2 linked regions of the Saccharomyces cerevisiae S288C genome follow. The gene in region 1 interacts genetically with each later gene. Each region holds a gene or a part of one and is shown on either strand. Other genes may lie near its edges.

Evidence for each region. Genes that interact genetically often act in the same process or in processes that back each other up.
Region 2: mutations in PDS5 (region 1) and RIO1 together harm fitness more than expected from each alone (negative genetic interaction), as found in Saccharomyces cerevisiae (2 studies listed by BioGRID).

Annotation. Positions count from the first base shown.
Region 1 is NC_001145.3:418,110-421,868, forward strand, and holds the start of PDS5 (sister chromatid cohesion factor PDS5), read right to left. Parts: upstream 1,921-3,759; coding exon 1-1,920. Other genes in the region: ESCRT-III subunit protein VPS20, read right to left, coding at 3,375-3,759. UniProt on the Saccharomyces cerevisiae protein: Essential for the establishment and maintenance of sister chromatid cohesion at centromere proximal and distal regions during S phase. Also required for chromosomal condensation.
Region 2 is NC_001147.6:548,195-551,953, forward strand, and holds RIO1 (protein kinase RIO1), read right to left. Parts: upstream 2,053-3,759; coding exon 598-2,052; downstream 1-597. Other genes in the region: RTC5 (Rtc5p), read left to right, coding at 1-366; glycerol 2-dehydrogenase (NADP(+)) GCY1, read left to right, coding at 2,920-3,759. UniProt on the Saccharomyces cerevisiae protein: Required for the final endonucleolytic cleavage at site D converting 20S pre-rRNA into the mature 18S rRNA. Required for the final steps of cytoplasmic maturation of the 40S ribosomal subunit.

The DNA.
Region 1 (3,759 bases):
GGCTCTAAAAAGCAAAATTTGTATTACCTTGGCGATATCACGTGGCATAATGGAAGCACCAGTAGATATATTATATTTTTTAAATAGTCCTGGCGTTTGTAACTTACTGACCAATTCATTGTAACAATTTTTAAAAGTAAGAAACGGAATATCGTTGGTGACACAGGCATTTAATAAATAAAAGATTCTTTCGTCGTTAAATTGTTTTATTGTTTCGAGGGCGTCGATTGCTTTCGTAGAGTCAGAAAGGCCAGAAGCTAACCACTGGAGAGTTTGGTTGTACTTGTTCATTACAATAGGACCTTGAGACGAGCTCATACTTTCTTGATTGTTCAAAAATTTACTAAAATCAATATATTTGGATATAGCGAAGGATATTTTGATTTGTCTTGCATTGAAAGCGAAAAATGAAGTGAATGCCTTCTTATCAAAATGTGACAAAACCGTTAGCAGTCTGTGGACTCTTTTATCGTTATCTGGTTCAAACGGTAGTAGGTATTCGAAAATTACGCTGTCGACTTGTTCATTGATGTTTAAATCATTGATATAATAGAGATTGTATAAAGTGGATGGTATGGTGTCTATGATTTCCCAAATTTCTTTATTTTGGTATGTCCTTTCGATCTCATTCAATGAATTTGAGTAAAACTTGGCCATAGTGTTAATGCAGAGTTCCCTAACCTCCTTATGTTTTTCTCGGGCCAAATGAAGTAAAGATGTATAAATGGCTTTATTGGTTATATTTTTCCAAATTTCAGTAACGGGAACTTTATTAAAAATCATAACAGAAGTCCTGCGTACACGAGGATCAGAATCAATAAAGGTTTTTGCCAGTGCCTGATTCAGTTCTTTGGATATGTCTTCTCTCGTGGCAATGATTTGAGGAATTGATTCTGTCCATTCTACTCTAACATCGGGACTAATATCAGCAATTTTGGAAATCCATGCCTTGAACGTATCGGAATGTGTAGAAACAAAATTTAAATCCGAATATGAGGTAAGTATTTGACCAATTAATTTTGTAGCTTCTTTTCTGAAAAGCTCGTTTTCCGAAGATAATTCGTGGTATATAAATCCGATTACTGCATTGATCAGTTCGGGTACTGTTTCCCAAAGTCTCAATACCAGTTTATGTAATTTCACTACCACAGTGAGAAGTCTTGAATTATTGTCATCATTAGTTGCTTCATGAATAATCTCGGAATAGTATTTAGTTAGATGTCTACTCATTCTATTGGAATAAGTATCACACAAAATTAGACTAACTTCGTAGCCACAGTCAGAAGTAACGTTCAAACCTTCAGGAATTTCATTCGGGTTATAGGTCAAAAACTTATTAAAAATTAATCTTAGTACTTCTAGGGGAACAGAATCGAACTCAGAGATGACTTCACCGAGAATACCGCCTATTACATTGAAGAGCCTTGCGGGGAAGCTCTTGTTAGGATCGTAAAAAATATGGAATAGTTCGATAAGTAAATTGTTTGAACTAGGTAAATCGGCTAATAATACGATTGATCTGTATTCTAGTAGCTTAGTGATCAAATAAGTTTGTTGGATGTGATAGCCGTTTTCTTGGTCACCTAATTGTTCAAATTGTGAGAGCACCAGCTTGAAAATGTCCGTTAGTTGAGCATCCGTATAAGGCGCATCTGGAGCATATAATCTCAGGATATCGCTTAGACAACAAGCGGTGAAAGCGCGGATCCCCACGTCTTTATGTTTTAATAATTTTCTGCTAACTAGTGCGTCCCTATATTTATCTAATCCCGTTAAATCTGTATTGTCTTGATCCAGAGAGGCTAATTCCTCATGTAAAGCTTTTAAACGATCTAATAGTTCATTTGTTGATATCAGCTGATCGGAGGTAGATATTATAGGTGAGTTAAACTTCAGTTTAGTAACAGCACCTTTAGCCATTTTGTTCGCACTTTATTTCTTGCTTCTTTACAAATATACCTGTAAAAATTGAGACCGGATACAAACTAACAAGGTGGATAAACTTCTTTTAGGTCTTTTTACAATTAACAACAATTTCGATGGAGCCTAGGTTTATAAACTTTCACTTGTTTATACAACTTTACGCGTCGCGTCGCGACATGTCTATAGATTAAGTCACTTTTAACGCCATCATTCCGGGTAGTGCATATTTTCCCTTGGCGGCTAAATAGATGAAAAGGTAAAAGTTTAATCTGAGAAAAAAACTGCATTGAGGAGTCTGAAAACTGAGGATAAAACAAACAGTCGCAGTTGAGTTGTTCTTTTTCATGGAAATTCTTACTATGTACTGCATTTAGGAGGGGAGTTCATCACACTATTATAAATTAAAATATACATCCTGCTTCTTACTAAATTATGTTTTTAACTATTCTTACTGCCGCAATTCCAAGAGGGTAGAGGGTAACTTCAGAGTCTTTACCTAAAAGGTGGGACGCCAGACGGGCGTTAAAAAACTTTCCGTAACGGCTGAGATAAAAATGATTTCGCCCAGGATCGAACTGGGGACGTTCTGCGTGTTAAGCAGATGCCATAACCGACTAGACCACGAAACCTGTTATTTGTGATGGTCTGGACCTATACTTATGGTTTTATGGACTAAACATTTTATGTAATCTTTTATAGAAGAACATTTCTTTTTTCAGGTCAACCGTACAGGAAACTTTCCTCTAATAATAGGATCTTTTTTAATGTAGCTCTCAATATATGGCCTAAATATCATGTCCTATTCTTTTTTTGAAATATCTCCGACATTTAACAAAATAGTATTATTTCATGGCATGACCATTGAAAATTGTGCAAGAACTTTAATTTAGGAAAGTTCATTGATTCAGGATAAATATATAAAGAAAAAGCCACTATCCCCAGAAATTTTGCTGTTGATGAAGGCTACGATGCTGTGAATTCAGATTATAGGAGAAATTCACCTCGAGGACTTGAAATCCACATTAAGGAATCGATATTTTTACACGATAATATTATAACTTTTTCCTCTATTTTGTTTTTCTTTTAATATATTGTCATTCATCATTTTATTTCAAGCAAAATTTAAAGGTTAACATAAATTAATAGTTGCCATAATTGGGACAGAAACTTCCATTACATCTCTAGACTTTTCTCAATCTTTATATCATCTTTTTATGTCGTATATGATAATCTTCTAGTAGTATGGAACAAGTCAAGAGATGATAGCTGATGCTTCATTTTAACAATAAAAATTCTAACGACTATTTATCACGTCTTGGCTTAGCTATAAAAGTACTATATAAACTTAGTATTTATTTTTGAAAATACTAAACAAATTCTATCAACGAAAAACCTGGAAGGAACCTATTTACATTCCCTTTATTTTTAATTTTGAAGCTACATACAGACATTCAGGATAGTAATGCTAAAGGTTCCTTAGTGTCTGATCTCTCCTCCGTCGCGAATTCCTCTCTTTCTTTTTGCTCGGTTTGTTCTCCTTGAGGCAATGATGGCAAACCTTCTGTTGATGGCATGTTAGCTACTTTTGCGTTATTCATCTTCTCTGGATTGAGTTCACTTTCTAGAGCATCCAATTCCTTATCTAGATCGTCTTCATAATTGCTTGTTCCGACTAAGCTTCTAGATAATGTCTCGTTAATTTCATTTTGATACGCAATTTGATCTTGTACATCGTCCATCAGTTCATCAACATTGCTAAATTCCTTGTTTAGTTTTTTCAAGATTTCATTTCCATTTTTCAGTCCATTAATAAATTGCTTTTCTACCATTTTGAAC
Region 2 (3,759 bases), on another chromosome or scaffold:
CAACCATTAATAAAACCAGCATCCAAGAGATACATACCAGGGAACGTGTCGCTTACTTTTGACAGCACATTAGAATTTGCTGTGTTTAGAAATACTGGTTACGGAGGTTCATTAGACCCTGGTTTATTGTCGATGGAAAGAAAGGAGGAAAATTCCCCTTATGAATTGCATTTTTTGATTCAAGATGTTGAGGTATGGGGCTGTGGTGGTGAGAAAGAACTAGAAGAGCAAATCAAACAGTTGGAATGGGAAGAAGCAGAATCTAAAAGAAGACAGCAAATTAACCTGAGAAGCTTGGGAGAAGACCGTGCCTTACTGGAAATGGCAGGTTTAGTTGGCCAACATCAAGGTGGCGGTTCAATGTGATGCCTGCCTTTTTTGCTGTTTTTAGTTATTGGGATTGATTTCACTAAAAATCAAGACCACTAAATAAGGCTATTGTTTATTTTAATATTTATTGCACTTGTATGAAAAGTACCAAACTTTTGATACTGATATTACACTTTTAGTCTTGAACTTTCTTCGTTAAATTGCTGACCTACTTTCTGTTCTTCGACTCCAAACAACGATTCCCAAATGTATTTTCACAGGGCCGCATTATTTCTTTGATTTCGTTTTTTTCACCAATTTTTTCTTGATGTGCTTCTTGACTTTTGTTTTCCTTTTTTCTCTTTTTGCATCTTTAGCTTCCTGCTTGCGCAATTTTTTTAAATCCTTGTCCTCATGTTTCTTCCCCTTTAAAACTTTTGGTTCATCATCGTCATAGTACTCGCCCTCCTCCTCGTCATCTTCTTCAGATCCGCTTGAGCCGTCTTCTTCATCATCTGAGAATTCCTCTGTGCCAGAACTACATTCGTGGTCAGCGTTATCAAATTCAAATTGCTCAGAAGCAGCAAAATTGCGTTCATTATCATGGGCAATCAAGCTTTTCAGTAAGTCAAACTTACCATCAGTATACCTATCAAAATCTCTTTCCTCTAATCCACCCAATGATCTAACTAAATGCAGCGATCTGAATATTTCATCTTCTGCCTCATCTTGTTCTGTAGATTTTATTGGTAGATTACTAGCAATGTATGCAACCAAGGCGCTAATATTGTTATAATCACCTTTAAATTTCTCCAAAGTTTCTGATATGACAAATTGAAAAATAACCCTTTCAGGGAAAATACTTATACCCATCTTCTCGAAATAAAGGTTAACGTTTTTGATATCCATCCTTAAAAAATCTAAACTCATTGGATGTTCAGGTTCCACACTTTGGGAAACATCGATCATATATAGTTTATCATCATGAACTATGGTGTTATACTCTGACAAATCGGCATGAACCAGGCGACAAACTTGGTACAGCAATCTCATATATGCCACCATTGTGTGATAATAATGGAAAATTTCATCACGATTCTTGTACGGATAATCTTTTAATTTAGGTGAGGCAAATCCATTACCTCGGCTTAAAAATTCCATAACTAAGACGTTGTTCTTAACTTCTATTGGCTTAGGAGCTGGAATGACGCCACTTTGATAAATTCTTTTCAGGTTCCTAAATTCCTTTTCAGCCCAAATTTTAATCATTTTCCTTGGATTATGTTGAGATCTGGAATTTCTAAATCTAAATTCACCATCAACATATCTTTCACGATCTTTGAAGACTAGGATAGAGGTCTTATAAATCTTAATGGCATATTCTGCACGGGATCCGTCTGTCTCTAAAACTTCATACTGGCCTGTTTCCTCATCTATTACGGGTGCCTTACCGGTACCTGCAAAAGCGTGGTAAACATTAGCTTCTTTCCCAGTACTTAAGCAACCGTTCAAATCTGCAATCACACCTCTGGTGACCATAGACTTCAAAAATCTCATAGTTCTCGGATCTAAGACATTTTCCACAGTCGCCCTATTTGCTTTATCCTTTGATGTTTTCGCTCTGCTGAATGATAATTCATCAGTTTTTATTTTGTGACTATACTTCTCTAAGAGCTGATTATTAATATGGTCCGAGGCACCTTGCGACACAGACAATGAATCAAATTTATCTTCCAAGGACATGACCTTCTAAAAATAACGGAGTTTGAATCTCTAAATCTGTTTTAACTTCTTTTTACTATTATTTTTAGTCTTAGTATCTCATCTCATCTCAATTTCTATATTCCACTATAAAATTTTTCACTCTTTCTGCGCGCGCCAATGTCCCCGCAACTACTCAATAGGTAACATGAGAATATTTCAGTTCGTAAGAGAGAAGAGATGAAGTTATTTGGGCTCTTTGCTCGAGGTTACAGAAGGGCCGCATTAGAGTGAATGAGCTGATGATATTTCGCCCAGTTCTACATTTTTTTTTTTTTGGAAGTATGACCTCTGTTAAATTTTTTTTTTTTTAAATTTCACTTTCTAAAGTCCCAGAAATCCGCTTGAATGTCTTACATATTGCAATGGATATGCTTGGGTGATCATACTTCCTGGCTTTAGATATTTGAAACTTAACTCTTGTCAACAAACTTCCTATGGAGTGTATAAGAATTGTAAGTTATAACACCGGCGAACAATCGGGGCAGACTATTCCGGGGAAGAACAAGGAAGGGCGGTCTTTTCTCCCTCATTGTCATAGCAAGGTCATTTCGCCTTCTCAGAAAGGGGTAGAATCAATCTAGCACGCAGATTGCAAACACGGCTTAATAATATGCCTATCAGGCATTCACCCGTGTGACGAATCGCACACCGCTGCTCTCCTTAATTCCCTAGAGTAGAAACCGAGCTTTCAGGAAAAGACTACGGCAGTAAAGAATTGCTTTACTGGGCGTATAAAACCGGGAGAATCAAGACATTCTAATGACTTGATTCAGGATGAGAGCTTAATAGGTGCATCTTAGCAAGCTAAAATTTGGACAGCTCTCATTACTAAATTAAGATAGAAAAATGCCTGCTACTTTACATGATTCTACGAAAATCCTTTCTCTAAATACTGGAGCCCAAATCCCTCAAATAGGTTTAGGTACGTGGCAGTCGAAAGAGAACGATGCTTATAAGGCTGTTTTAACCGCTTTGAAAGATGGCTACCGACACATTGATACTGCTGCTATTTACCGTAATGAAGACCAAGTCGGTCAAGCCATCAAGGATTCAGGTGTTCCTCGGGAAGAAATCTTTGTTACTACAAAGTTATGGTGTACACAACACCACGAACCTGAAGTAGCGCTGGATCAATCACTAAAGAGGTTAGGATTGGACTACGTAGACTTATATTTGATGCATTGGCCTGCCAGATTAGATCCAGCCTACATCAAAAATGAAGACATCTTGAGTGTGCCAACAAAGAAGGATGGTTCTCGTGCAGTGGATATCACCAATTGGAATTTCATCAAAACCTGGGAATTAATGCAGGAACTACCAAAGACTGGTAAAACTAAGGCCGTTGGAGTCTCCAACTTTTCTATAAATAACCTGAAAGATCTATTAGCATCTCAAGGTAATAAGCTTACGCCAGCTGCTAACCAAGTCGAAATACATCCATTACTACCTCAAGACGAATTGATTAATTTTTGTAAAAGTAAAGGCATTGTGGTTGAAGCTTATTCTCCGTTAGGTAGTACCGATGCTCCACTATTGAAGGAACCGGTTATCCTTGAAATTGCGAAGAAAAATAACGTTCAACCCGGACACGTTGTTATTAGCTGGCACGTCCAAAGAGGTTATGTTGTCTTGCCAAAATCTGTGAATCCCGATCGAATCAAAACGAACAGGAAAATATTTACTTTG